2 linked regions of the Notamacropus eugenii genome follow. The protein of the gene in region 1 binds, or shares a complex with, the protein of each later gene. Links are inferred from orthologs where the notes say so. Each region holds a gene or a part of one and is shown on either strand. Other genes may lie near its edges.

Region 1 (16,298 bases):
GTAGAGCTGTCTAGGAGTGGGATGGACTAGCAAAGAATATAGTGAGCTTTCCATCAGGGCAAGTCTTGAAGCAAAGACTGAAGGACCACTTGTTGGAGCTGTTGTCAGGGAGAATTTTGTTCAGGATTTCATTGGACTAGGTGCCAGTTCTGAGATTCTGTGAGGTGTCACAGCTGGGATTCAAACTCAGGTTTTCTGATTCCTAAAGCCTATGCTTTTTCCACTAACCCAGATCCCTCCTTCAATCAAGGATCCTATCCCTTCTTTCTTGGATATTTAGCAAGTCTTGCTAATAGCCATAAATTTTAGGTGCTTCTTGATGTTAGTGGAACCAAGCAGGACAATATGGCAGAATAGAGAAGATGCTAAACCTGGGGTCAAAGAAAATGACATCATAGCCTGATAACTCAGTGACTGGGTAATTCACTTCTCCAATTCTTTCCTCTGAAAAATAAGGGAGTTTGAACTCAGTAGCCTCTGATATCCCTCCCAGCTCCAAATCCATGATCCTATGATCATTCTATGTGAGCTAATGGTGGAAATAAAGTTTTACCTGTGGGTTCCCTGATCTCCCAATCTGCCTTGAGTCATTTGATGCATAGCAAACATCAAGGAGAAATTGTTATTCTTTGATGAACCAGTCTGCTGTTCAGCATTTCTATACTATGAATCTTCTCTTGCAAAAAAAGAGAAAGGAAGGGAGGAAGAAAGAGAGGGAGAAAGAAGAAAAAGAGAAAGAATGAAAAAGATAAATCTAGATGTCAATCATTTGTGTTCAAAGCTACAATGGGATCTGGGTCATCTTTGAATCTTCAAAATTCATTCTTGGTTTATGAAAACATTCTTAGAAAGTGAGGATAAATAAATGAAGGAAGGAATAGAAGAACTTAACTATGCAGCAGGATATGGAGGTCTGGGCATAAGGAGATTAATGATACTTACCTACTTCTGTCACCAACTTGTCACAGACTTAATTCCTTTCAAACCATAATAGTCTATATCCTATGTCCTGTGTTCTAAGACTCCTCCGAGCAATGACATTTCATGTTCTAAGGGCTCTTCCAACTAAATATACTCTGCATCATTGCTAATTGAAACCTCAGGTGCTCTCTGGTCCCACTTAACCATTTATGCCATGATTTCTTCTCCTTTCCAGGACAGAGGACTTTGGTGGGCTCAATGACCTATCACCCTGAGAATCCCCAGGCAGACAGCAGCTGGTGAGTTGCCTCATTTCTGGTAAATTCAGCTATTTCCCAAAAAGACCTCAGAGATCATCTAATCCAGAGCCTCCCTGAACAGGAATTGCCATATAACCTCCTAGACAAGCTCCTTAAGGGTAGAGACTAGTTTTTGTCTTTGAATCCCCAGTGTCTAGCACAGTGCCTTAGTAATAATCCCTTAATAAATGTTTGTTTAATGAATGGAGATGTCCAGGGGTTATCTCAAGGTACAGTGGAAGGAGGAAGGAGGGAACCATATACACACAAACACATACACACACACACACACACACACACACAGCAGAGGGCATGGGACTGTGCCCTAGGAGGAGGGAGGTGGGAGGTTGGGCAACAGCAGTAAGCCCTGCCAATTGGCAGAAATTCCTGGCATTTTGCCTGACCTCCTGGAGATCAGGGGAAGAAAGGTCATCCAAGAGACTCTAAGGTATATTTGGCTTGAATGACAGAATTTCTCAGATAACATTCAGATTAGTCACCTTAAGTTTGGACCCAAAATCATAAAACATGGTATATAAAGGATCAAAGAATATAGAATGCCCAAACTGAAATTGACCTTTGAGTCCAAAGGTGTCATTTTACATGCAAGGATGGTCAGTCATCTAGGAAGGGAAGTGATTTATCCAAGGTCACACGGAGCAAGTGACATAGTCATCAAAAGACACTTTCCTTTCTTTTCACTACAATTGCATATCTGCATCCAAGAAAATAGCTACCAGAAGCCCCCAGTCTAACTCACCTAACCCACTATATCTAGGGGATTCCAGACCATGATTCACACACTGGTCAATTATCCATCAGGACAACTGTAACATGTACCACTTTCTGAAGGGTACCCACCTTGAAATTTTACCAATGAGCTCTCCTGAGCCATAGAGCTGGCCCCAGGACACCCCCACCCCAGATCATGCTTCATATCCCATCCAACCACCCACCAAGACACTGGAGTCTGGGGTGGCATATGGCACATGGAACATTCACCCCAAACACAGGCCCCCTCTCTTACTTTTCACTTCTTGTTCTCAATCAGGGAACAATAATCAGATCAATCCTACCACTAGTACCAGAAAGCATGTGGCAGGGAGTTGCCCTATGACTCCACTCACCATCTCTGAGCTAACCAAAATGCTACCTATCCTACCTATGCCCAGCCCTACATGTATTGTCTCCTATTAGAACGGGTAAACTCCTTGAGGGCAGGGACTGGCTTTACTTTGATATTTCTCTTCCCTGGTGCCTGGCACAGTGCCTGGCACACACCAGGCATCTCATAACTACTTGTTGATTCATTCATTTCTTCATTCAGTAAAAGTCCCTCTTCCCCAATGCGCAAAGCTTTGTGGGCATCCCCGAGGATGAATCTTTCCTGGAAATAAGTTTCACTTCTCCCCGTACCTTGTCATCTGGAACTGCTGACAAAGCCTGGGGACTGCTTACAGAAGCAAAACCCAGAAAGCCTCAGTCCACAGCACAGGCCACAGATGGAGGGGCAAAAGGTCATTCATCATAAATGCTCTGGCCCTACGTCCTGATGCCAATGGCCAAAAGAGAGGCTGGGCAAGGATAGTCTCATTCCGGTGAGAGATCATGGGGAAAGGACTCAGCCAGGAGGCAAGAGACTCAGACTCCAGCCTCAGGTCTGTCATGACTGCCCACGTGACATATCCTAGTCATTTACTGTCTCCAGAACTCAGTGTCCTCACCTACAAAATGAAAAGTATGAAGCACATGATCTCTTCATGTCTTTCCTATTCTGGCCTTTTGTGTTCTCTGTTCCAAGGGCCCCTCCCAGCTCTGACATTCCCTGTTCTAAAGCCCCTTTCAGTTCCGACATCCCCTGTTCTAAGGCCCCTCCCAGCTGTGACATTCTATGTCCTAAGAATCTTTATCACTGCACTATTCATTAGTGTAAGAATTCAAAATATAAACCCACATAAACCATCAGTACTTCTATATTATCACCCTGCAAGAAGAGATTGTAAGAGAGAGTTCATTTAAAATAGTCATAGACAATATAAAATACCTAGAAGTATACCTGCCCAGACAAACCCAGGAACTATATGAATATAATTATGAAACACTTTATACAAATAAAATCAGATTTAAATAATTGGAGAAGTATTCATTGTTCATGGGTGGACTGAGCCAGTATAATAAAAAACAATTCTACCTAAACTAATCTGTTTCTTCAGTGCCATCCCAATTACATTACCCCCCCCAAAAAAAATTATTTTATTGAGCTAGAAACAATAAGAGCAGAATCCAAAATATAATGGAATCGGCTTCTGGGCACCATTACCTTGGCATAATTCATACAAAACAACACGCAGCCCCCTCCCCAACTTCCACTTGATTCAACAATTCCACAAAACTTATCTTGAGCAACTAGCCTGGGGTCTCCAAGCCCATGATCAGAAGTTCCATCAGGTCCTACTAAGCCAAATAAGTCCTGAGTAAAGCCTGGCAACATATTGTGTATCTTTGCTGTCTCCAAAGCAGCCTAATCAAAGGCAGATCTGCGTACCACTAGAGATCTGACTCCTAAGAGGAGATTTATTTGGAGTCTCAGCTACTTGCTATTTCCATGACCCTGAGCAAGTCATTTCCCTTTATAAACCTCAGTTTTCCCCATCTGTAAAATGAAGGTGCAGAACGAAATGATTTCTAAATATCCTTCCATCACTAAATTCTACAACAGTAGATAATTTAGATTCCTTTATACTTTATATTATTATGTATATCAAGACATTTTATATATTCAGGTGTATGATTATTTTTATTTGCCTTTATGATCAGTATATTTTTATGATTCAAGCTGATGTTAAAGATGTGTTTATATTCTGGTAACTAGCTGACCTTAAGGAAGTTGGTTCATAGGCTAATAGAATTTGAGCAGGAGGAGATCTCAGCCATCATTTAAACCCTAAGCCCCATTTTCCATATCTTAAGAATGATTGGGTTGGATGAGAAGGCCTTCCATATCCTTTCTTAACTCAGTATCTATACCCTTCATTTTACAGATGAAAAGTCTGGGAACCAAAGAAGCTGTGACTTACCCAAGGTCACACTGCTAGCAAGCAGCTGAACCAAAAACTGGCTGAAACCTACATCTCTTCATTCCAAATCCTGCCCTGCCCCCCATTTCCCACTGCACTACAGGGCCCAAGATCGGGCCTCATGTTCTCTCCCTCCTCCTATCCCCTCTCAAGAAAATTGATAGAAAAACTTAGTACCTTCCACACTGTGCTCTACACAACAGCTGTCTGTGATGCCCAGCACCTGCCTCCCGGCAGAAGGAGGGTGCCAACTGTCAGCCGTTGGATTCCGTCCTGTGCTGCCACTATATCTTGTCCATCCAGCTTTCCAGCCTCCTGTGGCCATTCATCCAGACCTCCATCCATCCATTCATCCAGGAGTAAGGGGTGGCTCCAGTCTAGGACAAAAGCAGGATAAGTAAACCAGAGCCCCTCATCTCTTCCCCCAGAGCTGGCTCTGCCTGCCCCACAATCCCAGACCCACTGAATGCCTGCTGCTTTTTTTTTTTAAGACAGCAGAGTTCCCAGGGTGGGATTTGGGCGGGCCGTCCTTCTGCAGGAAAAACATCTGGAAAGGGGTGAGCCCGGAAACTTGGCTGGCTTCCCCCCTCCTGACCCAATGCCGGGTGGGCTGAGGGCTGGGGTGGTGAGAGGCCGGCACAGCCCCTGTTTGCCAGGTGACTGGCCAGGGCAGAGCAAAGCAGAGCCCTGCACGAGTGGGAGCGTGAGGGGAGAAGGGGGAAGGATGAGGCCACAGTTCACTGCCATATGGCTGGGAGCTGTTCCCACAGCAGGCTAGAGACCCCCTCGGTGGGGGAAGGGGGGCTGATTGGATGACAGAGAACTGGGCTTGTGGGCTCTGAGGAGTGGGGGAGGAATCTGCAGGCTCTTACAAGGAACTCAGTCACTTCCTCCTCTGTAGGGGGGCCTCCCATTCCTGCAGGTGGGCCTCAGTGTAAGCACATCCCATATAGCCAGAAGAGTGAAGTCAGCAAAACAACATACTCCCTCCCCATTTTTCTCCTATTCTCCCCTTGTTCTCAGCTAGGGGAGTGGAAAGAGGAGGGATTTTAAGGGATCACAGGTTTTAACTTGGAAGAGACAGATCTTTGAGGCCATCAAGATCAACCAATTCTTCTTACAGAGAAGGAAACTGAGGCCCAGAGAGGGCAGTGACTTGCCCAGGGTAACACAGTCAGAAAGTACTGGAGGCTAGACCTGAACCCAAGTTGTGCAGACTCCCAGATCATCTCTGTCCCCTCTACCTCATTGTCTCAGTCAATGGATCCACCAAACTCCCCCTGCAGAAGTAGCTTCCTGCCCTTTTTCCTTATTGAATGACCTAGTTTGTTCCCCTCAGCGTCTTGACTGCAAGGTTTGTCATCTCTAGCAGGAGAATCTCAGTCCCAGACATGAAGGTCTTTAGAACAAAGGTCAGAGACGCGCTGCTAGCTAAGCAGCTGCTGCCAACAGGCCATGTCTTCTCTGGGATATTTTCATCTAATTTATGGCGAGATGTCCCTGTCTACGGAGAGGCAGTGCTGGATTTGGTCTCTACAAGACCTTCCTCAGACATGTACTAGCTGTGTGACCCTGGGCAAGTCACTTACCCTCTGTCTGCCTCAGTTTCCTCATCTATAAATGGGAATATAATAGCACCTACCTCCTGGGGTTGCTGTGAGGAGCAAACGAGATAATATTTGCAAAGCACCTAGCACACTGCCTAGCACATAGTAGGCATTTACTAAATGCTGGCTTCCTTCTTTCTTTGTGCTTCCTGATTTTAATCTCTAAAGATTATACTGCAATAATAATAGCTACCGTTTATAAAATGCCAGGCACTGTGCTAAGAACTTTACAACTCTTACCTCAATGGTCCCTCCAAGAAGCCCTGGGAGTTAGGTCCTATTATTATCCCCATTTTACAGATGAGGAAACTGAGATAAACAGGGATAAGTGACTAGCCCAGGGTCACACAGCTAGTAAGTGTCTGAGGCTAAATTGGAACTCAGGTCTTCCTGACTCCAAGCCTGGAACTCCATCCACTGTGCCATCTAGTTGCCAATCATCTTCTGTATGGGGGTCACTTACTCAATAACTTGTTTAAATATTTGCAGAGCTGTCACTTGAAAAAGATTATTCCACCCAGCCTCAGCGGAAAGAGCTAGAACCAGAAGGCAAGAGTTACAAGGAAGTCAATTTCCCTATAGTATGAGAAAGTCCTTTCTAGCAATTAGGTCTATCCAACAACAGAATGGGTTGCCTGGTGAGATAGTGAGTTGTCCATTCTTGAAGCAACCATCAAAGATGTTATGGAGAAGACATCTATGATGAGTGGAAGACTGAACTAGACCACATCTCAGGTCCCATTCACCTCTAAGTCTGGGATTCTAAGAGCTTTTGATTCTGTGATTCTAAAATTCTCTTGGAAAAAGTCGCTTCTCTCCACACCTTGCCCTCCCCTCTAAAATGAGGGGACTGGACAAGAGGTCTTCCTAGCTCCCTTCTGGCTGTAAATCTGATCCTATCTGTCTCATCTACAGTCAAATTAACTACTGATCATTTCTTGTACAACACCACTCATCACCTCTTGGAACTCTGAAATCCCTTCCAAAGCCAGCTCTGGTACCCACCCCCCCAACAGGAAGCCTTCCCTACCACTTGAGATGACTGTATACTTTTTGTTCGTTTCTACTATTTCTTCATTTGTTTTTCTGTGTACACATTGTATCCACAGTAGCATGCAGGCTCCAGGTTTCCTTTTTTTTTCTCTGCATCTCTACTTGACACATTGTTTGAAAAGGAATCTACAGCAACATGGGTGGATGCAGCACCTAATGAGGAAGCACCTAATGAGGAAGCAATTAGATCAACACCTATTCTACAATTTGCAGCCTTATTTGTAGCAACTAAGAGTATGCAAGTGACATGCAGGGTCACACAGCCAGCATGTGTTAGAGACAGAACTTGAACCCAGGTTTGGGGGTTTTTCACTCTAAAGATGGCATTCTATCCACTAGGATTCCTTGCCTCTTCCCTGGCATATATTTGGTGCTAAATGAGCGATCATTACATAAAATGGAATCGATGTACTTACATTATAATTCTCCAGACAGCACTGAGAAGGTGCTGAGTCTCATTCTGACTCTGCTAACACAGTCCAGGATCCTCAAACATTGTGTGTTTGGCTACAGGCCCGGAACAGGAATTCTTGGAAACCTGATGTTAAAAGTAGGCTTATATTGAAATATTCAGGGCATGGGGTAGGAGGAGTAGAGATGGAAAAATGTTCCCAACTGATTCCACCCACAAGGAGTTTGTCCTGGGAGAGACCAAAGAGCTCACAAGTTTCCACTGTAGATAGAAGAGCTAGAGGTGAGACTTCCAGTATGTGAAAGACCTTCCCCTCCTGCCCAGCTTCCTGCTTACCAAACCTTCACACTCCCAAAATAGCAGAGGGTGATGTTACTGCCCAGTTATGCTTCCAGAACTGGGGAAGAGAAGGAAGTCCAAGGCTAAAGGGCACACAAGGAGGGTGTTTCTTTCTAGGCTAGGGAGGGAGTGGGGCGCATTGAAGGACTTTACTCTTTACTCTTTTTTAAAAAAAATTAATTTGTACTAATTAAATTAATTCGTACCAATCCCTTTTGTGCTGATTAATCTAACTAATTTGCACCTGTGCCTTTTTAAATTATCTACATTTCCCTTCTCTCTGCTCCCAATCCATGTAACAAAGTCTAAAAAAGAGCAAGAAAAAACCAGATCCACAAAACTAGCCAACTCATCAAAAAAAAAAAAAAAAGGTGGCATCGTATGCCGTGTTCCTCACCCATGGTCCCCCACCTTGGCAAAGAAGTACAGGAAGTGTTTTCTCCTCTCTCTTCATGGCCGTTATAATTTGATGGTATTCAGTTTGTGGTAGTCAGTCTTGATATTCTATCCTTGTTATTGTGCTAGTGTATGTTTTTCCCCCTTGGCTCTACTTAATAATAATTATAATAATTAACATTTATATAGGACTTACTATGTGCTAGGTACTTTACAATTATTATGTCATTTAATCCTACAACTGCCCAAGGAGGTAGGTGCTATTGTTATTTCCATTTTACAGGTAAGGAAACTGAGGCCAACAGAGATTAAGTGTCTTGCCCAGGATCACATAGTTAGTAAGTGTCCAAGGTTGAAATTGAACTCAGGTCTTCCTGACTCTAAGCCTAGCTCTCTATCCACTGCACCACCCAGCTTCCCCATCTGTCCTTACAGGTCTTCCTATGATTCTCTGTATTCATTATATTGTCATTTCTAAATCCATCACATTCCTGTACCATAATTTGTTTAGCTACTCCTCAACTGATGAGCACCAACTTCACACAGTGCCTGGAACACAGTAGGTGCTTCATAAGTGCTTGTTGACTTGATTTGACTATATTTTGGTAGACATGGAGACTCCTTGTATCAGTGGCTTCCTTGGGGTATATGCCTAGCAGGGGGATCTAAGGGGCAAAAAGTGAGGACAGTGTAGGCAATTTTTTTCACTTGACTCCAAAGTGCTTTCCTGAATAGTTGGACCAACTCACCATTCTACCAACTATGTAATAGTGTTCCTCTCCCTCCACAACCCTGACAACATGATTAACCAGTTTCTTCTTATGTACAACCACTTATATACAACTATACATGGATCTGTAACTTCATCAGTTTGGGTGTTCCATCCCATAATGCCTACCTCAGTCCATCCCTGCCCACCCAACCTGGGCAACTCTCTTCCATGTCCTCTTAAAAACCTGCCACAAAGTAGTCTAGAATTATGACTGCTATTATGATTGTTAGCAATTCAAGTCACATTAAGTGTCTGCTGTGTGCCAAGGACTGTGCTGAATACTGAGGATACAAAGAAAGGCAATAGACTGACCCATGTAGTCCATGTGGTTCTCTCCAGCTTTAGGGACTTGATTTTAATTATGAGTTTAATCACAATTGCTCTGAGCCCCCAGTTAGCAGACATATCAAAAATACCTGAGGGCATTACTGAAATGGATCGGCCCATGGATGATCTAGTGATGAACCTCTGCACACTTAGTAGCTTTAGTAGCCAGCCCTACCACAAGGCGGCATTTCCCATTGCCACAGAACCCTTCCTTCTCACTCATACGAACAATGGGATATTCCATAGCAGGGGCACCAGTGCTGCAAGAGAGCTTAGAGTAGCTAAGGTGTAGTCCCAGCTCTGCTATCAACTCTCTGTGTGACCTTGAGTAAGTCACTGGAGATCTCTGGGACTTGGCTTTCTCTTCTGAAAATGAATATAATAATCCCACTCATCTATCCATCAGCTTCCACTCTGTCTGAGGATCCAATGAGATCCAGTGAGATGGGACAGTCAGGTCCTGGGATGCTCTATTTAGAGCTGAAAGGATCCTTTGAAGTTATCCAGGTCAACCCCTTTCTACAGAAGAGGAAAATGAAACGCAGAGAGGTTGTGACTTGCCTAAGATCATACAGGTAGTAGGGGCAAAGCTTCTGACTCTCAATCCAGTCTCCTTTTCAAACTGAAAATACTACCACACTGACTGGTTGTCATTTGTAAGACACTGGTTGGACTGAGGGAGGGGAGGGTGAGTTGTGCATCTGTGAAACAAACCAACAGAACAATGCAGATGTGAGACCCAAGATCTTGGTGGAAAAAGACCACACTAAATGCTTGGGACAAAGGTGAGATGAAGGGGAGACTGGCTGGTCCACATTGTTTCAGGAGAGCTGGCAAACCTATGGGACTTTTCATACATTATCTCATGGAGGTCTCACAGCAACCCCAGTAGATAAGTGATCCAGGGAATCCACCTCTATTGTCTGCTACCTGGGCCACCTTAGGATCTCGATGCTCCCTGAGGGCCCCTCCAGCTCTGGTTTTACAAACCTATGATTTAATTACTGTGTGACCTTAGGCAGGTATCTTCCTGTCTCTCTTCCCGTCTTCTCCATGGCTAAAATAAGAGCAGATGATGTCTGAGGCCACTCTCAGCTCCAGACTTATGGTCCAATCATCCTACATTTCTTTCCCAGTCATAGGGCCTGCGTGAGGCCTTTACTGACCCCTCAGTTATTAGCACCTGCTGTCTCTCAACATTGTCTTGTATTAGCATATAGGCATTTTGTATTTAGTTATGTTGTCACAGTCCCAAAGCCCATTTGCAGGAGGGGTGGGCAGAGCAGGCACAGAGGAGAGCATTTGGCCACTTCTAATGCCCAGCTTTGAGAGGGAAAATGGATGAGGCAAGTCCCGCTACAGGAGGCTGAAGGAAAAGATTCTGGGAAGACACAGGAAGAGGCCAGCCTCCATCACATCCCCAGTTATGACTTACTATAGGCAGATGTTGTATAGATGTTTTCTGACCCACACAGACACATAATGCAGACACACATACAACACAAACACACCCATGCCCACAAACATATATAGACACATATATACACACACAAACTCACACCCACATATATATACAGATACATACATACATATATACACAAACTCACATCCACACACACATATATACACATACTTGCACACATAAACACAACACACGTATATGAACATATATGCATATATTCACGGTATAGTCACACATATATACCCACACACATACACACATATACATAAATCATTCACACATTTGAACACACACACACACCCAAGAATATAAGTTCATTGAGGGCAGGAGTCAGTTGAGGGTGATAAAAATCATTCTAGCTTTGGAATCAGGAGACCCGCATTCAAATTCTCCCTTTTCTATTCCCTTGTTATACAATCTTAGGCAAGGCCCTTAACCTCTAGGGACTTCCCCATTTCCTCCTTTGCAAAATGGGATTCCAACAATCCTCTGATCTGTCTCTGTATCTTCCGTACACCTCATATAATGAATGCCTCACAAACATGTGTGTAGACATATGAATTTATTAATTTCTGTTTATAGGAAGCCATGTGGCACAGTGGGCAGACCACTGGACCTGGAGTCTGGAAGACCTGAAATCAAATTTGGCCTCAGCTGTGTGACCCCAGGTAAGTCATTTAAGCGCTGCCTACCTCAGTTTCCTTACCTGTAAACTGGACATACTAATAGCACCTGCATCCCAGGGTTGTTGTAAGGACTGAATGAGGTAATTAAAATATTTGAATATTCTTATTTCTTCTTTGTCTATCTGCTATCGCATCATATATGCACTTTACAGGTAGGGATGGTTTATTCTTTTTCCTTGAATCTCCAGTGCCTAGTACAATGTCTGGTACATTTAGACCATCAATAAATATTTGATTGATAAATTATGATTGGATTAATATTCCCATTTTGCAGCTAATAAAACTGAGGCCCAGAGAAGGAAATATTACCCAAAGTTACCCACAGGCAATAGGAGAGACAAGACCAGAACCTGCTTCTCCTGATGCCCAATGTGATGTACCATTCACACTGCCTTAGCGCCTGCTCTCCTGCTCCCACCCCTCCTCGAGTGGATTGGTCCTCAATGCACACCCTTCCCTCTCTCCAGAAAAGAACATTTTAACCATTCTGCTCTCCCTATCTTCCCTCATGGCTCACTCTTTGCCTCCTCCCAGCATTCCACTCCCCTCTCTAGGTCAGAAGCCTAACTTCTCTATCTCTCTGGGCCAGGGTCTCAACAGTCAGCCCCCCATTTCCTCAGGGCTGGGGGGGGTGGGTGGGAGGGTGGTTGGATCACCAGAGGCTGATGGGAGACTTCCCAATCCTGGACTCCTGCTGGCTGCTGTCAAAGGCCCTCCCAGCCTTAGAAAGAACACTCCTTGAGCTCCAACAGAGATAAAGCAGCCTCTAGAAATCTTGGATGGGGTACAGAAGGGGAGACAAAGCTCAGGAAGGATTTATGTAAATCGTCTCTTCCTCCCAGTCCTTGGAGGCAGGATGAGTTACTGCCGGCTCCTTTCGAATCAAACTATCCTCATGGAGCCAAATCAACTCCATTAAATGAGGTTCTGGTTTTATCAGATGGAAACTGCATCTGGCAGAGAAGATGAAGCTGGGCTTGGGGCCAGCCTAAGCCTCCATCCACCCAATGTCAAGTTCAGAATCCAGGGATGTAGTTCTAGCTGATGGACCCTGATGCAGAGCTCTATTAGACACTTCATGGCCAGGCTGAACAGCCTAAAAAAAGACAAAGGAATAGCGAAAGAGCAGAAGAGAGAGTGAATCAGGATGGGAACAGACAGGTACCACTTCCATCCAATGATTCTACCTAGTAATCAGAACCCATCTGGAGATTGTACTATCTTGGGAGGTAGTAAATCTCCTGTCACTGAAAGTATTCCAGCAAAGACTAGATGGCACTTGGCAAGGATGCAGGGAAGGGACTTACCTGCATTATTAATACAGGGTTAGTAGTAGGGTTGGGCTGCTAGGTGGGGCCATAGTGCACAGACCACTGGGCCTGGAGTCAGGAAAACTCATCTTCCTGAGTTCAAACCTAGCCTCAGATATTTATTAGCCATGTGACGATGGCCAAGTCACTTAACCCTATTTGCCTCAATTTCTTCACCTGTAAAATGAGCTGGAGAAGAAAATGGCAAATCACTCCAGTATCTTTGCCAAGAAAACCCCAAAATGGGGTCATGGAGAGTAGGATACAACTGAAATGACTCAACCACACAGCAGCAGTGTTGCACAACGGATAGACCCAACCTCAAAGTAAGGAAGCCCTGGTTCCAATCCTGACTCAGTATATGTTTTATACTGGTTGTATGATTCTGGGTAGATCACACCACATCTCGGAGCTGCAGAAGAGGCTCCAATCTGCATCGGCAGAGGGAGATCCTTAAACCATTGAAATCACAGGCACAGTCTCCAAACATGTGGTTATATCTGTGAAAGGCAAGCTGACCTATTGCACAGAGAGCTGACTTTGGAGTCAAGAAAACCTGGATTCATATTCCATCTCTGTATGGGCTGTGTGACTCTGGGCAAGTCACTTAACTTCTCTGTGACCCTGGTCCATTCTCTGACTCTAAGTTACAGAAGAAATGTTGATCTGAATAGCTGAAGGAAGTTGTTGCACAGGGAATTCCTCCATAGTGATGGTATCACAGGTCCAGAGAAGAAGGAGGAGAAGATAGAGAAAAAAGGGGAGAAGGACAAAAGGGAGAAGGAAAGAGAAAGAAGACAACAGAGAAGAAAGAGGAAGAGAAAAGAGGAGGAAAAAGACATAGATTGTTTTGTGATTCTATTTGGGGTTTTCTTAGCAAAGATCCAGAAGTGCTTTGCCATTTCCTTTTCCTTCTCATTTTACACATGGGGAAATTGAGGCAAACAGGGTAAAATGATTTTCCCAAGGTCACCCAGCCAGTAAGTGTCTGAGGCCAGATTTGAACTCAGGAACATGAGTCTTTCTGATTCTAAGCCCAGTGTACTATGGCACCACCTAGCAGCGCCAAGGGTTAGACTAGATGCCCTCAAACAACAATGCTGTGTTTCAACATCCTCTCAACTTTCCCCATAACTTTGAAAAGCACACTATGCCCAAGGAAACCAGAAGAGTCTCAGAGAGGGAAATTAATTTCCTTGTAGTCACACAGCTAAACCCAGGTCTTTGACTCGTGGTCCAAGAAGAGAATAGGATTACAGGAATTAGAAGTAGAGAAGTTAAATGAAATTGAGAACAGAAAGAGGAAGTAGTGTGGTGAGGAAACAGCTTTTCCTGTCTGGTCTATGATGAATCAGAGCCCCAAAGCTCTCTGATTTTCAAACAAGAAAATAATCATTAAAGTTTCAATTTGCTGCTCTCCTTACTTGAGGTGCCATCTCCCACCACCATGCCTTTGTCCAGGTTGTATCCTATGCCTGCAAAGCTTTTTTTTCATCATTTCCTCTTAGAAAGCTTGGGTTTCTCTTTAAGACAGCTCATTACTGCTTCTCAAAGGAAACTTTTCCTCATTCCCTTATTTGTTATTGCTTGTGCCTCCAAATTTTATGTATTTGCTAATTGGTATACATACTTTGATTGTGTCTCTTGTACTTTGTAAGCTCCTTGAGGACTAGAACTGGTTGATTTTTGTCTTTGCATCCCCATTACTTCCTGTAATACCTTCCACATATTTCTTAATAAATTCTTACTGAACTGATTTGAATTGAATTTCCTCAGAATCAGGAGCCATTATGGGAGAGAGGAATACAGTGGGGGTCAAACCCAAGGAGAAACTGAGGCCACTCATCCATACATAAGGATTCCCATGGGCCACATATTGGTTTAGTTTGCAATGTTATCTATATTTGATGTATTTGGTTTTGTTCAATATTTCCCAGTTCCATTTCAATCCGATTTGGAGAGTGTTGGGAATGCAGTGGGTCATATATGGCTGAGAGCTGTGTTTAACAACTCTAGTGGAATGGACATAGATCTGGCTTCAGAGCCAAGACAACCTGAGTTCAGATCCCACTGTGTGACCCTGGGTAAGTCACTTAACTTCTCAGTAATCTAGGTAACTTCTGTAACTTTATGATTGCCAGTCAGAAAAAGTGTCAACTTTCATGGGTAAAGGAGATTTCCTCACCTGGGAGTAGCCTATACAAATGAAAGGATAGGTCCTGCTGTTTCCCTGTTACTTCCTCAGAATAAGCTGGCAGGTAGCGCAGATATTATCACCCCCATTTTGAAACTTCAACTCATTAAACATTTATTAAACTCTCCACCAAATGCTGAGCTAGGTGGCTGGGGAAAATAAAATGTATGGATAAAACAGATGAGGAAAAGGAAGTCCCTTGGCAGAAAGAGCAAGTGACTTGCTCAAGGTCACACAACTAAGGAGCTACAGAGCTAGGATTCACACTCAGGTCCAGGATCTTTCTGTTAGGATACTCACTAGGAGATCACATAACCTTTCTCAACCTCACTTTCCTCATCTGTGAAATGGGCATGGTAATTAACCTGCAGTAGCTTCTCCCACAGAGTGGTCATGATGGTCAGAGGAGGTCATATGTATAAAGTGCCAGATAATTGATCTCTATTATTTTGACATGGACCTGAGCTTTCATTGGCAGCAAGGTGATGTGCTAAACTAGGTACTGGGGAGACCTGAGTTCAAATTCTCCCTCAGACACTTACTAGCTGTGTGACCATGGGCAAGTTGCATCACCTATCTGTTTCATCATCTGCAAAATGGAGGTATTAATAATGCCTATTTCACAGGAACACTGTGAGATCATCAATGAGCATTTAACCAGCACCTACTAGGTGCCCAGCAGTGTGTTAGGTGCTAAGGATACAAAGACAATGAAACAGTGTCTGCTCTCAAGGAAATGACATTCTAATGGTGGCAATAAGTGTACAAACAGATAAAGTAAGGGAGTCTGGGAGTAGATCTCTAGCAGGGAGGGAGGGGATCAGGAAAGATCTTTGGAGACACCTGAGCTTAGCTTTGAAAGAAATGATGACTTCCAAGAGCCAGAGGGGAGAAGAAAATACAGTCTAGGCACGAGGGTCAGCCAATGCCAAAGTGTGGAAAAGATGGCAGGCTGATGGGGAAGAACAGAAAGAAGGCCAGTTTGGTTGTAGCCCAGAGTATGGAGGGAAGGATAATGTAGGATAAGTCTGGAATGATAGACAGGGGCTCAGCTGTGAAAGGCTTTAAAAGCTAAATAGAAATTGTAGTTTTCTCCTAAGAGTGCTAGGGAACCATTCAAGTTTATTGAGTAGGAGAGTAACAGGGTGAGATCTGCTCTTAAGGAAAATCATTCTGGAAGCTATAGGGAAGATGGAGATGAATAAACTAATGTGACTGAGTAAAGAGCAGGGTAGAGACAAGAAATATTGTGAAAGTAGAGACTGGAAAGACTGGAAATAGAGAGAGAGAGAGAGAGGATAGGGCTGAAGACAGCACTGAAGTTTTGAAACTTGGAGCCTGGAAGGTGAGTGGTGCCTTTGACAGAAGTAGGGAAACTAATCAGAGCTGGGTTTTCAGGGAAAGAGAAAAGTGTCTAGGACATCCAATATGAGATATCCAGGA
Region 2 (16,083 bases), on another chromosome or scaffold:
CAGTAAAAATTTGTTTTTTTTTTTCCTTTCTCTCCCTCCTTTTCCCTCTGCCCCTCTGAAACTAGTGTGGAGGGGTTGAAGAAAGGGAGTAACAGGAATTTCAAGGACAGTTCAGCTCAGCCTTTCTGCTCCTGCTGGCTGGCTGGCTAAATTTACAACCTTATCAGATAAAAAACAGAGACACACAGACTTTCATTCAGACAGAAATACCAACACAACATATACAGACAAAACATTTAACAGAATAGAATAGTACATATAGGTTTAAATTTTTGGCAAACCCAGTCCTCGGAGGAACCATATTTGGGCCAAATTGTGCCTCCTCCTCTGATGTCTTTTCACCCCATATGAAACAACAATACTTAATCATCTTCTTCTACATTCTTTTCTCTATAATTTGGTAATTCATGCCAATTTTGTAATCAGTTTCCCAAGGGACTGTTTACCAGTATTTCTTCCTGACTCCACTCCGAAGCTTGATTCTTGGACTGCTTCTGTCTCATTTTGGATGAGGGTTGTCACCAACACCTCTGAGTCTAAGACTCAGTGAATTATGCTAGCTCCCCTGCTAGCTCTCCTGCTAGCTCCCTTGCCAGCTCTCAGGTGGGGGTCACTCCCCACCAGCAGTCACCCGGCAAGCGTTTTTGGGGGGGGCCCTTCACCCTGGGGTCCCACAGTCCACTAATTTGGTTGGGAGATGTCACCTTCTCCCCGAGTCTATCTAAGACTCAACGAATTGACCCCCAGACCCCCCCCCCTCCGCCCCCCGCGCTTACTGCCGGGTCGTATATGCGTACAAGTTGCCTGACTGCAAACTTCAACACCAACTGGTTGGCATTTTTACACACTTCACAGCTTCAGAGTCTTTGGAGTCCTTATCTCTATTCTTTTCTGTCCTCACCAAGTTCCTCTGCTTCTGGTTGTTACTTTGCAGAGAGGGAGGCCCAGAAGCCCTTTTCAAGGACCATGGGGGAAATCTCCCCACGGGCACCCAGTCTTTGAACTGAGCTGCCAGCCGTCTCTCAGAAAGGTCACAGATCCCAGGTGAATGCCCCCAAACTGTGTGGGATGGCTCAGGTCCCTACATAAATCAATTACTCAGAGGCCTCTCAAAGTGATGACAGAAAGTTTATTTACTAGATTCTCGAGAATTGGGACAGTCCTACACCAGTTCATCTGGAATAGGAAAGACAAAGACAAAGAAAAGGCAGTGATTTATATAGACCCTAACGCAAGTCCCTCCTCCCCTACTGACCATTATCCTCATTAGCTGAGAATATGATCTTACATTCTAGACATGAAATCTAACCAATCCCTTTTGAAATGAAGACATCGAGGAATTATGTAAGTTTTATCCAGACATTGAGACCCTAATACACTACACAGTTTTATATCCTTATATGGAACTATTCTATTCTAAAAATATTGTAACCTTGAGCCTCTAGGTCTTACCTCACCCCTGGGAGAAGAATTACAATCTGAGAAGTCTTTACTAAACCTATCCCACTCAATAGCTTCTTATCCCCAAGAGGAATCTTCTTTTGGTTTTCATCCCAGTCCCAGCCAGGGTCTCCCTGCCCTTGGGAAGTGATGACCTACAACAAAGGCATGATTAAGTTTCAGAAGAAGAGGTCAGTGTGACCTGTGATTCTCAAGTCCAAAAAACTTTAATTTTCAACTCTTCCCCTCAAGACTGCTTGAAAATACAGATAACCATTGTGAATCAACAGTACCCAAGTCAGGAAGGAGACCTTCATTTACTCCTTCATTTAACAAATATTCACTATATGCTAACTAAATATTAGGAACTATACTAGGTGCTAGAGATAAAAGGAGGCATAGAATACAGAACAGGGATCTTTTTTGGGTCATGGAACCCTTTGGCAATCTGGTGAAGCCCATGGAAACCTTCTCAGAATAAGAGTTTTAAATGCCTAAAATATGTAGAATTACAAAGGAAACCACTTCGTGAAAATAAAGATAGATGTGTGTGTGTGTGTGTGTATACATATTTTTCCCTATCCACATTTACATACATCCTGAAATCCCTCAATCCTTTGGGAGTCAGTGGATCCCAGATTAAGAACCACTGACGTAAACCCTGCCTTTACAGAGGTCAGGGAAAACAGGTACACAAAGAAATATGACACACAAGTGTGAAGTAAATGCAAAGGAGAAGTCCAAGAAGTTATGAAAAATATAATTAGCAAGAGATCACTCATCTTCAGTCTGAAGGAGTGGGAAATCAAAGAGAGTGAGACTTCATGAGAAGGTAGTACCCCAGTGAAGAGGAAGTCAACAGATGAAAGTAGAAGGTAAAGGAATTCTTTCTTGGTACTGGGGACAGAGATAATACATGAGGACAGGGGAAGGAGAAGTGTCCAACTTAACTGAAGAAAAGGATTATGTCATAAAACTAAAGTAGGCCACAGTCAGATAATGTCTGACTATACTTTCTGGGGTAGGTAATGTGGAAGAACTGAAATTTTTTGAGTAGAGGTGTGATGACATGACGAGAACAGTGCATTAGGACTATTACAAGTCAAGTGAATGATGAACACTTGGAAAGCAAATAAGCCAGGTGGATTCAATCCCATCTGGAGTTTTCTTCCTTTTCTCTGCTGGTCAGTGCTGGTGGCCAGCATCCTTGAGCTACTGGGATAGAATCCCTTTCTGTATTTCTCATTTCTATTGCTACCAGTCCAGGAAGTTTCAATTCCCCTAAATTCTTCTGCCCTAAAGTATGAATACTCCATCTCCCCATTTCCTTTCTCTCCATCACCTAGAACAGAGAATGGTTCTTTAAAAAAAAAAAAAACTGCTTTAATAACTTGCCTGCTAGAAGGAACCTTAGATCTAGTCTATCTAATCCAACCTCATTATTTTACAGATGAAGAATTTAAGGCCCAGAAAAAGTATGAGTAACTTGCCCAAAATCACAGAGGTAGTTTTTATCAGAGCTGAGATTTGAACTCAGGTCTTCAGATTCCATGGCATGTGTTCTTTCCATGATGAGAATCTGCCCCTAATGGAAAAAGGATACAATAAAAACAAACATCAGAATCATCAAGCTACAGGCAATGAAGAGCTATTCTAGCCATGGGGAATGATTAAAAAAAGAGATCTGTGAGGCCAGCTACTCACTGCTCTGCCTCAGAAGAAAGGCCCTGAGCTCACCTAATTCCCTATCACATATAATATAAAACCCCATCCTCATCTCTGCAGCTTTGGGTTTTGCTGATTACTCTCATTTCTTGCACATTCTTTCCCCTGGGCTTTCATGACATAGTTCTTTCCTTGTTCTCCCCTTGCCTGTCTCCCTGGTCTCCTTAGCTATCATCATCCAGATCTCACTCAGTAATTGTGGGTTTTCTCGAGGCTTCACCTTGGAGCCACCTTCTCTATATACTCTTTTGATGATCTCATCCATTCTCAAGGATTCAATTATCATTGCTATGCAAGTGACTACCAAATCTATACCAACAAGAAGGAAAACTAGGGTAAGGTTTGCCGGAACTTTGCCGCAGGGCACTGAATTTCAAGGTCACTGATAATGTTGACATTTCTTCCACTTTGGGGTGAGTTCCTTCCTTATCCTACCCTGCTTCCTACTCCCTTTCTATCTTGGGCATTCCACTTGTCACTTCTTCGATCTCTGTTCCCTTCCCACTCTAGCCCCAAAATGAGAGTGTTTTTCCTGCTACTTGTTGTAAGCATGTACTAGATACAGCTCTAACTCCTGCCTTTATCTCTCTTCTGAGTTCTGGTCCTGCCCAGTTTCCTGCTGACTGGAAGTCAACTTACTGTTGACTGGACTTGTCTTGAAAGCATCTCAAGCTGAATATATCTAGAACAAAATTTATTTTCTCCCTTCCTTAAACTTCCTTATTTCTGCTGAGGGTGTCACAATTCTAGTTAACCAGATGCACAATCTCAAAGTCATATTTTACTTTTTCTTGTCCTTGACCTCTCATATCCAAACAGCCACCAACTTTTGTGAATCATACTTCCGCAGCATCTTTTGCATCCATAACCTTCTCCCTCACACTATTCCCTACCTTAATTCAGGCCTCATCACTTCTCCCATTGGTCTCCAAGTTTCTGTTCTGTCTCTATCCAATCTACTCCCCCATAATTTTTAAAATAACCTTTCTAAATAAAACATACATCTGTTGTTCAACAACCTTCAGTCTCAAAGATTAAATATTAATTTTGAAGCTTAGTATTAAAGTCTTTCACATCCTGACTCAAGCCTACCTTTTCAGACTCATTCATATGACTCCCTTACTAGAAGCCATCTCACAAGTGTTCTGCATGTTCAGAATGCGTTTGTCCTCACATCCATGTCTTAAATGTCTTAGTTACTTCAGGACTCATGGCCTATGGAACTTCCAGAACACCCTGGTTATTAATGCATTGCCATCCTCCAAATTACACTATATTTACTGTCACCACTAGGTTGTACTATTGGAGTGTACAACTGCCTGGCCAGTCCTTTAAATTTTAGTCTACAGTCATCAGCAGGAGCCAATGCCATTCTTGTCAGTTACTCAAAAGCTCTGCCTCCTGGACTCTTAAACCATCTAAAGCAGGGTTCTTAACTCTTTTATGAGTGTCATGGACCCTTTTGCCAAGTTGGATAAATCCATGGACCACTTCTCAGAACAATGTTTTTAAATGCATAGAATAAAACACATAGGATTACGAAGGAAACCAATATATTAAAATACATTCTGTAGACAGCAAAACTGCAATCACCTGCCATGTAATGGTGGGGCTAATAACTATAGTCATTTCAAAGCAGTGATGAGCATAAATGATATTTCAAGATATCTGCAACAACTGTAATATGATGTGAAAATGTCTGTGATTTTTATTGGTATTAGTACTTTGTCACAATACTATCATGGTCATTTGCCTATATTCATAACTGGAGGAAAAGATTTCACTTAGAAGTTAGTGAAATTTAAAAATACAAATTTTCCTCATCCAAGTTCATGGGAGCCCTCAGGTCTACGTGTACATGGACCCTAGGTTTAAAAACCCTGATCAAGAGATATGTATGCAAATTACTCTGTTAGCTTGTACACCCACTAGATTCTTTCACAAGTCAATCAAAAGCTTCTGCCCTGTTAAAGATCATTCTCTTAGTAAGCAGTTTATTTATATTAAATAAATGGGTGGCAAAATGGTGCTTGAATGTAACACAGATAACCAGTTTCATTCACTGCCAGATTCAATTCTCCTGGCATTTCTTTCCACTCCCCACCCCTACCCCCCCACCAAAGGAAAATATTCACTTGGGGCAGCCTTTCTTTTCCCATCTATGGCAGCATCCCTAGTCAGGGAGGGTCTAGATCATAGGACCATAGGAAGTGAGTATCAGATCACAAACACTCCAGCTCTCATGCTACAGCTTGGGACACAACGAAAAACAGTCTAATCTCAAAATCAGGGCAGCAGCTTGAAGTCTGGTAATCCCCTTTCAACTCTGTGATTTCATCTGCTGCTTCCTTCCCAGGGGCAACCTGAAATATCTTTTCACTCTTTCTGTGGTCGTTTTAGTTACTGCCCTCTACTGCCAGACAACTTGTCCATTCTAGAAACCTAGCCCTCCTTGGGAAGTGTAAATGTTTATATTTTCCTGAGGCAGCGTGGTGGCAGGGAGGCCAATGTGGCTGCTGCCTTTTGTCCCCCACTTCCACCCTCAAAAATTTTAGGGCAGTCCTTTGTCTGACCTCTCACCACCCCTTATTCTATCTGTTATCCACATCAACCTCTGAATCCAGAGGGCCAATGAAACTATATCTGTGTCAGAGAGGCTGACACAGCCTTCTGCCTTTCTTTGTATCCCCAAAGTTTAGCACAGTACTTGGCACAAAGGAGGAGCTTAATAAATGCTTACTGACTATTGAATAATTATTGTGGTTGTTCAGTGGAGTCCAATTCTTTGTGACCCCATTTGGTGTTTTCTTGGCAAAGACCCTGGAGTTGTCTGCCATTTCCTTCTCCAGATCATTTTACAGATGAGGAAACTGAAATAAACATGGTTAAGTGATTTGTCCATGATCACACAGCTAGTAAGTGTCTGAGGTCAGTTTTGAACTCAGGTCTTCTTGACTCCAGGCCCAGCTCTCTGTCAGCCTTGCCATCTAGCTGCCCATAAACCAATTAGGACATAAGTAAACTAGTCAACAACCTGTGCTCAGAAAAGGGAATAGGAAGGCAGAAGTCATCTAGAATTGAGACTCTCAGTTTGCCATGGTGCTTCTACCAATAATTTCCATTGCTGCTCCTGGTGGGATTGAGAGGGAAAGAAAAATCCCCTTTCCCACTCCCCTTCTTTGCTGCATTCTTCCTTCACCGTGTGCTGGGGAATCAAAAGAGAGAGCTTGCTCTTACTAACTACACTATTCTCTGTCAAGAATCTGTCCTTCTCCCTTTCTCCTTCCCTCTCTGCAAGTGGCATAGAAGTGCCCCCTTCTGACAAGAGTCCAGTCTAGGAGAGTGATGGTAAATGCTTAGCACAGGGCCCTTCAAAAGTATACTTGACACATTTTAAAGTTTAATCAGCATCATTTTCTTAAGTCTAGAGAAGACAATCAATTAAACAATAAAACAAGTCCTGATTTGTAGTGCTTGCCAGTTTCTGAAGTGTGAATACTCACTAAAAATTTAGCAGCTCCTTTTCATAAACTGGTAAGAGTTGGCTTCAGTACACTCCTGGTGTAGGCCCTATAATCTCATCAAGTTGATTGAGGGGTTCATGAGCGGAAGTTCTTCTGATCAATCTCCCATTATAGCAAGATGTCACTGTATTAGCAAGGAGACTAATGTGTCTCTTCTATATCCTTTATTTGTATAAATGTATCCTTATTACCCACATAGAATGTAAGTTGTTTGACGGCAGGGATTGTTTTCTATCCCCAGTGCTAGCACAGAGCACATAATAAGGGTTCAGTAAATGTTTATTTTATTGTCAAATCAAGGGATCCATGGCTCTAGAATGAACTTTCTGACTAGATATGTGTGAGACCCAGCACTGGCAATTGAAAGAGGCAAGAGATGTTTAAAGGCAGCCCTGTCTAGAAGCAAGGGGAGAGACCATATGGTCTTTGGAGGGTCAAGGTCTGGACTACGCAAGGCTGAGGGGTGGCAGCATTTACCCCAAAGGTAGGTCCTTTGGACAGGATACCCTACTTTGATGGCTCAGTCTGGTGGAAGAGCTCAGCTAACTGCCTTGACTGAGGTCAGGCCAGCTGGCCAACTTCCCTGGACTTGGATGGGGGAGGGTGTCAGGGAGAATGGAAGAAGAGGAGGTTTGAGGGGTGGGGTAGAGGCCTGGGACTGCTGCATGGGAGACCATTCTGGATCCTTCAGGGTTAGGGCAGAAAGGCACCCTAGAAATTGTGGGAGTAGGGACCTAGAAGGATTGGATGGTGGTAATGGGGGGGGGGGGGAGAGTCATGGAGCCAGAGGTGGGAGGAGATGGGGGCAGAGACCAGATGCAGGGGAGGAGCTGGGGAGGCGGAGGTTGGGGGGGGTAAGGGGGAGGAGAGGCAGACTGCTACCGGGAGCTTAAGAGGAGAGGTCCAGAATTCCCAGCTAAGAAGAAGGTGAAATGGGAGAGCGGTGGAGGGGAGGGAAATGGGAGATGGACAGGAGGGTGAGGAGATAGAGGTGGGTCAGAGGTAAAGGGAAAAGCAGATGCCAAAGTTCAGTTTTCTGTTCCTCTTAGCCTGGGGGTTATACCAAGCTTTGGAACTGTTAAAGGGTTTGCCACAGTGGAGCTAGTAGGTGACCAGAGAGCAGGGGAAGTCTGACTCCCAAAGGTCAGAAACTGGGAGGAAGAAGAAAGAAACAGAAGTGATTTGGCCTCAGAAAAAAGAGGGGGAAAAGGAGGCCTTTAGGGGAAGGAGTTAAACTAGAAAAGAGCCAGTGTCGGTTAGGAACCAGGAGGCTCTGCAAGGGGAAGACGAGCTGGAATCTTGAGATCCAGATTTCTTGGGTTGGACAGCCCAGCAACAGGCCCCAGCATGCTGAGGGTTAAGCTCCAGCTCAGCCCCTCTTCAGGATGTTTACGTCCTCCTCAAAATATTCATCTTCGGTGTGAGCCTCACCTCCGGTCCCTCGATTCTCCTCCCTCCCCCACAGGCCTTTTCAGTGCCAGGGGCCAGGGGGGTGGAGCAAGGACCTCCCGAGCGCTGGGAAAGTCCAGGGCACTGACCTGACCCCAGAGGAGGGAGGGAGAGAAGGGGAAGGGGGAGGATACTGGGTGGAAGGGGTTGGGGAGGGAGACTGAGCTGAGAAGAGGGGAGGCATGGGAGGAGCACAGAAGGCAGAATGGGAGAGTGGGTGGAGGGAAGATGGAGTCTGCTTCCCGGCCTCAGGAACTTGGCCCTGGCTCTGACGTCATTTCCAATTTCTGGGAAACTTCAGAGAGTAGCTCTTCCCAATATGTTCTGCTGGGGAAGGGAGCTACAAAAGAGAAAACTAGGAAGGGAAGGAAAGAGAGCCAGCTAGACAGCACCCACTGCAATGACACTTTCAGGAAGGACTCATAGGAGGTAGCTCTCCCTTTTCAGTTCCCACCCTAACCCTACCCCCAGGCTTTGATGGACCCAGAACTGGGAGAGGCTGCAGTTAACCTAGAGAAGCAAGCTGATGAGGAGGGACATCCCAGGCTGGTGCTAAACAAATCTAACTAAATGTCCTATACTATCTGCCCCTCTCTTCTTCTATAAACCACTCCCATTACCCTGATGTGGCTCAGGTGGTCCTAGGAAATGAGCTACAAAAGGGCTCGGAGATCAATCACCCCTCTTCATTTTATTAATTAGGAATCTAAGATCCAAGTGAAAGGACTGGCCAAGCTTATCCAATTAGCGGTGCTGAGCTTCAAACCCAAGTCCTCTGCCTACAAATCCAGGACTCTTCCCACTGTGCCACATTTCTCTTTGTTCTGTTAAAGGTTCCCTGGTTGTTCATTTTATTCTGATTTCACTTTCTTTTTCATTTAGGGTAGAGTATATTTGTCTCCTGCTCCCCAATTCCCTAGGGATGGCCCCATCTAAGGCCACATCGACCCCTACCCTCCCAATCCAGTTATTCCTTCACTTCCTGAGCCCTGCTTCTCCCATACAACTAAAGGATGAGCCCAAGGGCAAACCAGGACCAGCAGTAAACCATGACATTGAGTCTGAGTGACAGAAGAGACAAAGATGGAGTAGGGGGTGGAGGGAGGGTAGAGAGTATGGGATTTGGCTGGTGGAATCTAGCTCTCACGGACACAACTTCATTCCATGCAGGTGCCTGTCCTGAGTCCAGTTGACTGTGATGTGCAGAAAAGAAATGAGGCAGTTGCTGTTGCCCTTGGCCCTGTGGCTTAGTGCCCTGGGGCCCACTGGAACCAGGGCAGATGAGCTCTCAGTGCCACAACAACGGGGCTTGCAGGTGGCTTTGGAGAAGTTCCACAATCACCCACCTGTGCAGTGGGCATTCAAGGAGATTGGTGTGAACAATGCCAGTGACATGGTGGGTGGGAGGGACCCCTTTGACTGCAATGAGGGTGGGGGGATATATTGCAAGAATTCTCTACTTTGCTCTAGGAGGGGTGCATCTGGGGTTCCACCCCAGAGATGTCAGTATTTCTCTAATAGGCAAGGATTTCTTTTGGTTTGGTTTGGTTTTTATTCAAAGGCATTTAATGAAATAACATAGTAAAAAAATAGTCACAACAGAACCTTATCTCACCCAAAGCTGGAGCACACTTTCTCATAGAGACACAGACTCTCCATGGAAATAGTGAGCACACATGTGGAGGACATATGGCCAGGGCACATGTATGGAGAAACAGCTCATATCTGCTATTGCTGTAGGACCACTGACAGCTGGTGATAGCATCAGATGCTCAGGAGGCAAGTTGGGAAGTTATTTGGAATTTATAAGCCTCCAGATGTCAAGAAAAGATTATAGGATCACAGATTAAAGCTTAAGGAGCCTTAGAAGTAATTTAGTCCAGTGGCCTCATTTTATAGATGAGAAAATCAAAGCCTACAGAGATATTGTGTTGTCCAAAATCATAGATAATATGTGGCAGAGCCAGGATTTGAACCCAGGTTCTCTGGTTACAAATCCAATATTCTTTCCATTGTACCATACTTGGATGTCATCTTCTTATAGCCAGCTCACTTGAGGGATAGCAATGCAATATAGTTGGGTAGGAAGGTGGTGTAGTGGACAAAATACCAGGCTGGAGTTAGAAGACCTAAGTTCAGATCTGGCCTCAGATACTTCCTAGCTGTGTGACCCTGAGCAAATCACTTAACCCTGTTTGCCTCAGTTTCCTCATTTGTTAAATGAACTGGAGAAGGAAATGGCAAACCACTCCAGCATCTTTGCCAAGAAAACCCCCAAAAAGGTCACGAAGAGTTGGACATAACTGAAAAACAGCAAAACAACACTGATGATTCAATGTAGTGCCATATAAAGCAGTACAATGCAACCAGCATTTATTAAATGCCTACTGTTTACAGAACAATGTGCTAGGCATGGGGAGGTGGGGGAAAGAATTGGGTGGAAGTAAGATAATGCCCTTAACCTCAATGAAGCCTACAAGGTACAAGATAAAGGAGGGGAGCTGGTCACTGGTTCACCTTTGTGTCTTATCCTTAGTCATTCCCTGGAGGAACATTTGTTCGACTGGAGTTTGGACTCCAGCAGACCAGCTGCCGAAAGAAGGACTGGAAGAATGCTGAGTGCAAGGTTAAGCCTAATGGGGTGAGTGAAAATCATTTCCCCTCTGCTGTGTGTGTGTATTTGTGTGGTTTTGGGAACATAGATCTGAGTCTCCATGTCCTTATAATGAAACATGTCTGGGACAGAGGGATGAATGAATGCCTGCATATATAATGGATCCCTATGTCAAAATGTGAGTACATATGATATGAATCTGTGTCTGTATATTGGTATATGCCTTTAGTGTATTGTGTATACACAGTGGAACATATGTCTTTTGTGTATACCTAGAAGGGTAACAGGACTTGCACTGTATGTGTATGAGAAATGTATGAGAAATGGAGGGGGGTGGTCTGGATAATAGAACAGGTGCCTCTTTTGTGTGTCAGAGAGACAGAGCATGAGATGGGGAGCTATGGGAACATGTGAATCTTTGTGTGGCTCAAGGGAGAGGAAAAATAATGAGAAGGTTTGAGAACAGAGATGTCATCTGGGAAGGCAGGGCATTGGGAGTCAGTGGGGAGGGGTACACAGACAGCTTTCTGGAGCTTGAGTCAATTTCACATGAGTCCCTTGGATGAGTGTGGGTAGGAATGAGCTTAATCTTCAAGAGTAAAGGTGAGGAAATAGGAAGGGAGCAGATTGGGTAGTATCAAACAGGTCCTGGGTAAAGTCTTGCTTTGAGGTCCCCAGATATCAAGGTTGATTCTACCTCCTGCTTCTAGAATTCAAGACATTAGAGAGACCCAAAGGAGAGGATTTGGTTTGGGATCTCCCAGGACTACGGAATATCCTAGGATTCCCTTATTTTTTAAAATGACGGTGCCCCAGATCTAGCCCACTGGATGAATCCAAGACCGAACTAATACAGACCTAAATACCAGAGCTTAATCAGAACCAATCCAGTTTAGGGGAAACTATGTGATGTAGTGGAAGGAACATTGGATCAGACATCTATAGACTTCAATTCTAGGTCTAGTCTGCTACTGACTCACTCAGTAATCACAGGCAAATCACTTAACCTGTCTAGGCCTCAATTTCTTCCTCTAAAATGAAGGAGTTGGATTAAATGATTTCTAAGATCCCAAAGTCCTAGATGGAGGAGTTTCTGGGCACCAGCTTCTGCATTCCACTTATTCTAGACCAACCTGTCATTAGTAACCCCACCTTCCCCTCAATCTCTGGTCCCCTTTAGCCAAGAAATGAGCCTGTTGCCTCTAGTGCTTTCCATTTCAGTACAGCTGACCCCATATCCCCTACCCCACCCCATAGTCAACTGTCTCTTCCCACAACAGCTCTAACCTTCCATGTCCCCAGTGTATCCCATTCCCTGATACAAATTCATCTATTATATGACCAATGTGGCATAGGACAAAGAGTGCTGGATTGGAAGTCAGAGGACTTGGGTTTGTCACCCACCTCTGCCACTTATTACTTGAGTGACCTTGAGCAAGTCATTTCTTTTTTGGGCCTCAGTTTCCTCATCTGTAAAATGAAGAGGTGGGACTAGCTGACCCCTAAGATGCTTTCCAGCTCTAGATCTATCATCCTTTGACCTATGCCCCTATGATCTCAGCGGAAGAGGAGCTGTTTGGCTTGCATCAAGTTTGATTCCAAGGACCGGATCCTGAAACAGATGATTCACTGCCCCATTGGGCCCCCGGGGAGTCAAAGGGTAAACCTTGATGCTTTGTTTCTAAGGTAGAGGGAAGGGGGAGAGTGGAGGAAGAAAGAACAGAGAAGGGAACCATGGTGTCTGAATAGCCCAGAAGAAGGTAACTGGGTGAAGAGGGATCTTGGACAGGAACCATCTGTTCCCTGAGATGAAATGGTTCAGGTATGTGGAAGGGGAGAAGGGAGGAGGGAGAGTGAGACAAGGTCAAGTCAAGGACTTGGCAGAGTAGAAGAAAGTGGTTTCCTTTTTTGACCCTGTGGCCAAGACCAAGCCTAAATGTATCTCTAGGATCCTGATGGGCAGCAGGAAAGCCAATGCACTCAAGTGGAAAAAGCTGGTGAGGAGCCCCATAGCTATTACTTCCCTGGCACATATGCCTTTTCTAGGAGTCACAACTCTGGCTGAATCCTAAGCAGGTAAGAATCTCTGGGAGGAAAGGAAAAAAAAAACTGCACATGGGTAGGAATAGCCTGGGAGGATGGGTTTAAGAACTGAGAATAAGGCTAGGATTTAGATCCAGGACTGAGTGAGGTCAAGATAGAGAACAGAGTTAGGCATTGGGAAAGTCAGTAGAAGAGATGGGAATGGAGTTAAGAATTTCTTTTTCATCCTTAACTCAACAATTTCTCTTCTCTTCAGGGTGCAACCTTGCTTTCAATCCCTTTGAAAACCAGTGAATAGTGTGAAGGCTTTCAACATCCCTCCTACCCATCAGGGCAAACACCCCCTATCCCACCTTACCTGGGAGAAGAGGCCAGACCCTGCCAACCCTGTACACAGCACTCTTGTTTCTTCCTGTCTCAAATAAAACGTGCTTCCGACTTCATGCGTTCACTTCCTTACACAGTGCCTTAGAACTAAATGGGCATCATGAGAAGGGGTCAAGGCTTAGATGAATGGCAATGACCAATCTCCATTCCTTGGGACAGATGATAAAACGTACCTTCTTTTTCTCACTAGTGAGATGGTGGACTATGGGGGGAGGAATGTGGCAGATGCTGTCAGATGGCTTAATTTGTCAGTTGGTTTTGATGAATTGTCTTTCTTTGTTACAAGGGAAGATTCTCAAGGGGGTGGGAATAATATACTGGGAAGTAACTGCACTTAAAAAAAGCATCAGTAAACTTTTAAAAGGGGCTCAAGCCTGGTTGCTGCCACTATGGTTACTTCCTTGATTTACCCCTATCCCTACCCCAATCCCACCCACAAATAGAGCAAAGATCAGACCAGAGCTCAAGGAAAGAGCACTGGAATTTCCAGCACAAGGGTGGTGATAATATTGTGGTCACACCACATCTGGAGTTGTGTCTTCAGATTTGAGCATTCTGTCTTAAGAGGGACACTGACAAGATGGAGTGTGCTCTAAGGAAGACAACCAGGATGGTGAAGAGGCACAGAATTATTCCATATGAAAGTGTTTAGCCTACAAAAGTGAAGCCCTGAGATAGAACATAACTGTCTTCAAACACTTCAAGGGTTGTCATGTGGAATGAATAGTAGATTCTGCTCTCCCATAGAAGCAAAGTCAGGGAGTTCCAGGGAGATAGATTTAAGTTCAATGTGAGGAAAAATTTTCTCAGAGTTGTTCGACTTTTAGCCAAGATTCAGGTACCTATCCCTACAACTCTACCATAGCTACTCCAAAAAAGTCTGAAATTTACACCAGATTGAATGATCATGAAATTCAATAATTCAATAAGAAACTATAGTAAGTGAATTCTTCCACTTGACTCTGAGGGAAAAAATTCATCAGAAACCTGAAGTCAATAGGAAAGAAGGCAGATAGGAAAGTGAGTGGAGAGCTCTTCCCTAGAAAACCCCAAGGTGGTTAGAAAGTCCCAGAGTAGGGACCTTGGAATCCCTGGAGAATGGCAGGGAACAGAACACAGCAGCTGCACTTGGACCTGGATACCCTAGGTGCAGGGTATCTGTGATGCCTAACACTGTCCTGAGATGTCAGAAAGGGAAGATTCAGTGATCTGAGCCTCAAATATATAAGGTCGGGGGAGGGAAGCTAACTCCAGATTGTAGAGGTCAGCACAGGAACACTAGGGATGCAAGGGTGAGACCAAGTAGGGCCAACCACTCCACCTAAATGTGTAGCAGGGGCCACAGCCTGGCTCTAGCTTAAAACCTCAATTCAGGAACTAAAGCTGGAGATGAGTAAATATAAGAAAACATACACCAGTATCAAAAATCATTATAGATATAGAGATCTCCCAAAAGAAGGAGTAATTCCAAAAAACAACAAGTAGTAATTTAAAGACAGAACTATACAAAATAGTAGATAATTATGCTCTCTGCTCTCCAGGTTACCTAAGTTTTAGCAGAATTTCAGAGAAGGTGAGCAGTAAGAGATTTCACTGGTTTCAGAAGAGTTCGAGGAGCTGTGGCTTAAGCTGAGCTTTAAAGGATGACTTTGGATAGGTAATTCTAAGGGGCAGCTAGGTGGTGCAGTGGATAGAGCACCAACCCTGGAGTCACAATTCAAATCCAGCCTCAGACATTAGCTATGCGACCCTGAGCAAATCACTTAACCCCAACTGCCTAAAAAAAGAAAAAAAATAAAGATAGGTAATTCTTCGAAAATCTTGGAAACTGAAGGCTCTCTCCATCACCTCCATCCCTTAACCTCTCTCTCCCAAGATGTGTAACCCTCTGTCTCAGAAACTTTAGAAGGTACAGTCAACTCCCTTCTTCCCCTCAGGTCTGTGTTATAAGCAGGCAAGCAGATAGGTATAAGGTACCAAGAAGACAGAGGAACTTCTTACCAGGACAGCATATTTTATTTTTCAAGAAGCCTTTACATATGCAGCCAGTACCCCATCACAACCCTCTATCTGGGGCCATGGGAGTGGGGAGGACAGAGAATCAGCTTAGGTGCAAGCACTTGCTCTTTTGGTATCAGTCTTGTGAGAGTGGGGTTGGGGAGGGGAGGCATAGGACACTCAGGAAGAGGCCTGGAATGCTTGGTTTCTCTATATAAACAGAAAGCAAGAGGATTCAAGTATAACATCTCCATAAGAATGAGGATCTAGATTTAATTTACCTTGAGAGAGTGTAGGAAACATAAATAAGGGGGACAAAACTAACTGGATATGATCCTGGGGGGCCAGTAATGAGGTTTGTGATCATATACATTCTTCAAAGCCTGGTGCACCTGGGAGACTCTCTTCTCCAGCCACTCCCCTCCCAACATAGGGGAATGGCTGGGCTTAGAAGACAAAGGAAGTTGTGTCCCCACTGGCAGGTCTAAGGGCCTCCTCTGCTTGGGCCAGACTATCATCGGCTTTCTGGCTCAGCTCCTGGCATTCTTGTACCGTGTCCTGGAACTGGCGGCATGCATCTTCCAGGATTGAGCTGCCCTGGACCTGTGGTGGCTTCCAGTAGCTGGGTTCCACCCATGGCTTGGCCTCACAGTGAGGAAGCAGAGAGACAGGCTCTGGGCTCCGGTGCAAGGATTTGTCAAGGTCTCGACACAGCTGGTAGAATTCACTGCCCTGACCCGATACTCGCTCCCCATCAATGACCTTTAGTCCAGGCAACAGCTCCCCCACTGCAGCCCTGTAGGAAGGGCTGTTGCAGAGTGGGTTGCTAAGCCGAGCCAAGGGGTCCTGAAGTCTCAGGTATTCCAGCCGCTGCAGTCCAGCCAGGCATTGCAGTTGGTCCAC

What was found.
Region 2: the proteins of CMKLR1 (region 1) and RARRES2 are in contact, whole or in part, in a cryo-EM structure (PDB 8ZJG), measured with the Homo sapiens proteins. The link is inferred for Notamacropus eugenii from reciprocal best matches to the Homo sapiens genes CMKLR1 and RARRES2. Residues at the interface, in NP_001135815.1 of Homo sapiens: Asp20, Tyr21, Leu22, Asp23, Ser24, Ile25, Val26, Val27, Leu28, Phe88, Leu92, His95, Tyr103, His104, Asn116, Leu119, Ile120, Met123, Arg178, Leu183, His184, Gly185, Lys186, Ser188, Cys189, Phe190, Asn191, Trp203, Thr205, His217; in NP_002880.1 of Homo sapiens: Leu34, Phe37, His38, Phe60, Thr75, Ser76, Cys77, Arg96, Leu111, Gly112, Arg113, Leu114, Val115, His116, Cys117, Pro118, Ile119, Thr133, Leu136, Arg137, Gln139, Arg140, His146, Ser147, Phe148, Tyr149, Phe150, Pro151, Gly152, Gln153.

The regions. Positions count from the first base shown.
Region 1 is NC_092875.1:23,694,672-23,710,969, reverse strand, and holds the start of CMKLR1 (chemerin-like receptor 1), read right to left. Parts: upstream 7,483-16,298; 5' UTR 7,374-7,482; intron 5,107-7,373; exon of another isoform or gene 4,675-5,106; 5' UTR 4,475-4,674; intron 2,945-4,474; exon of another isoform or gene 2,637-2,944; intron 2,630-2,636; exon of another isoform or gene 554-2,629; intron 1-553. UniProt on the Homo sapiens protein: Receptor for the chemoattractant adipokine chemerin/RARRES2 and for the omega-3 fatty acid derived molecule resolvin E1.
Region 2 is NC_092874.1:96,510,056-96,526,138, forward strand, and holds RARRES2 (retinoic acid receptor responder protein 2), read left to right. Parts: upstream 1-7,518; 5' UTR 7,519-7,616; intron 7,617-9,308; 5' UTR 9,309-9,336; coding exon 9,337-9,534; intron 9,535-10,674; coding exon 10,675-10,779; intron 10,780-12,313; coding exon 12,314-12,412; intron 12,413-12,700; coding exon 12,701-12,817; 3' UTR 12,818-12,828; intron 12,829-13,051; 3' UTR 13,052-13,233; downstream 13,234-16,083. Other genes in the region: LRRC61 (leucine-rich repeat-containing protein 61), read right to left, coding at 15,628-16,083. UniProt on the Homo sapiens protein: Adipocyte-secreted protein (adipokine) that regulates adipogenesis, metabolism and inflammation through activation of the chemokine-like receptor 1 (CMKLR1). Also acts as a ligand for CMKLR2.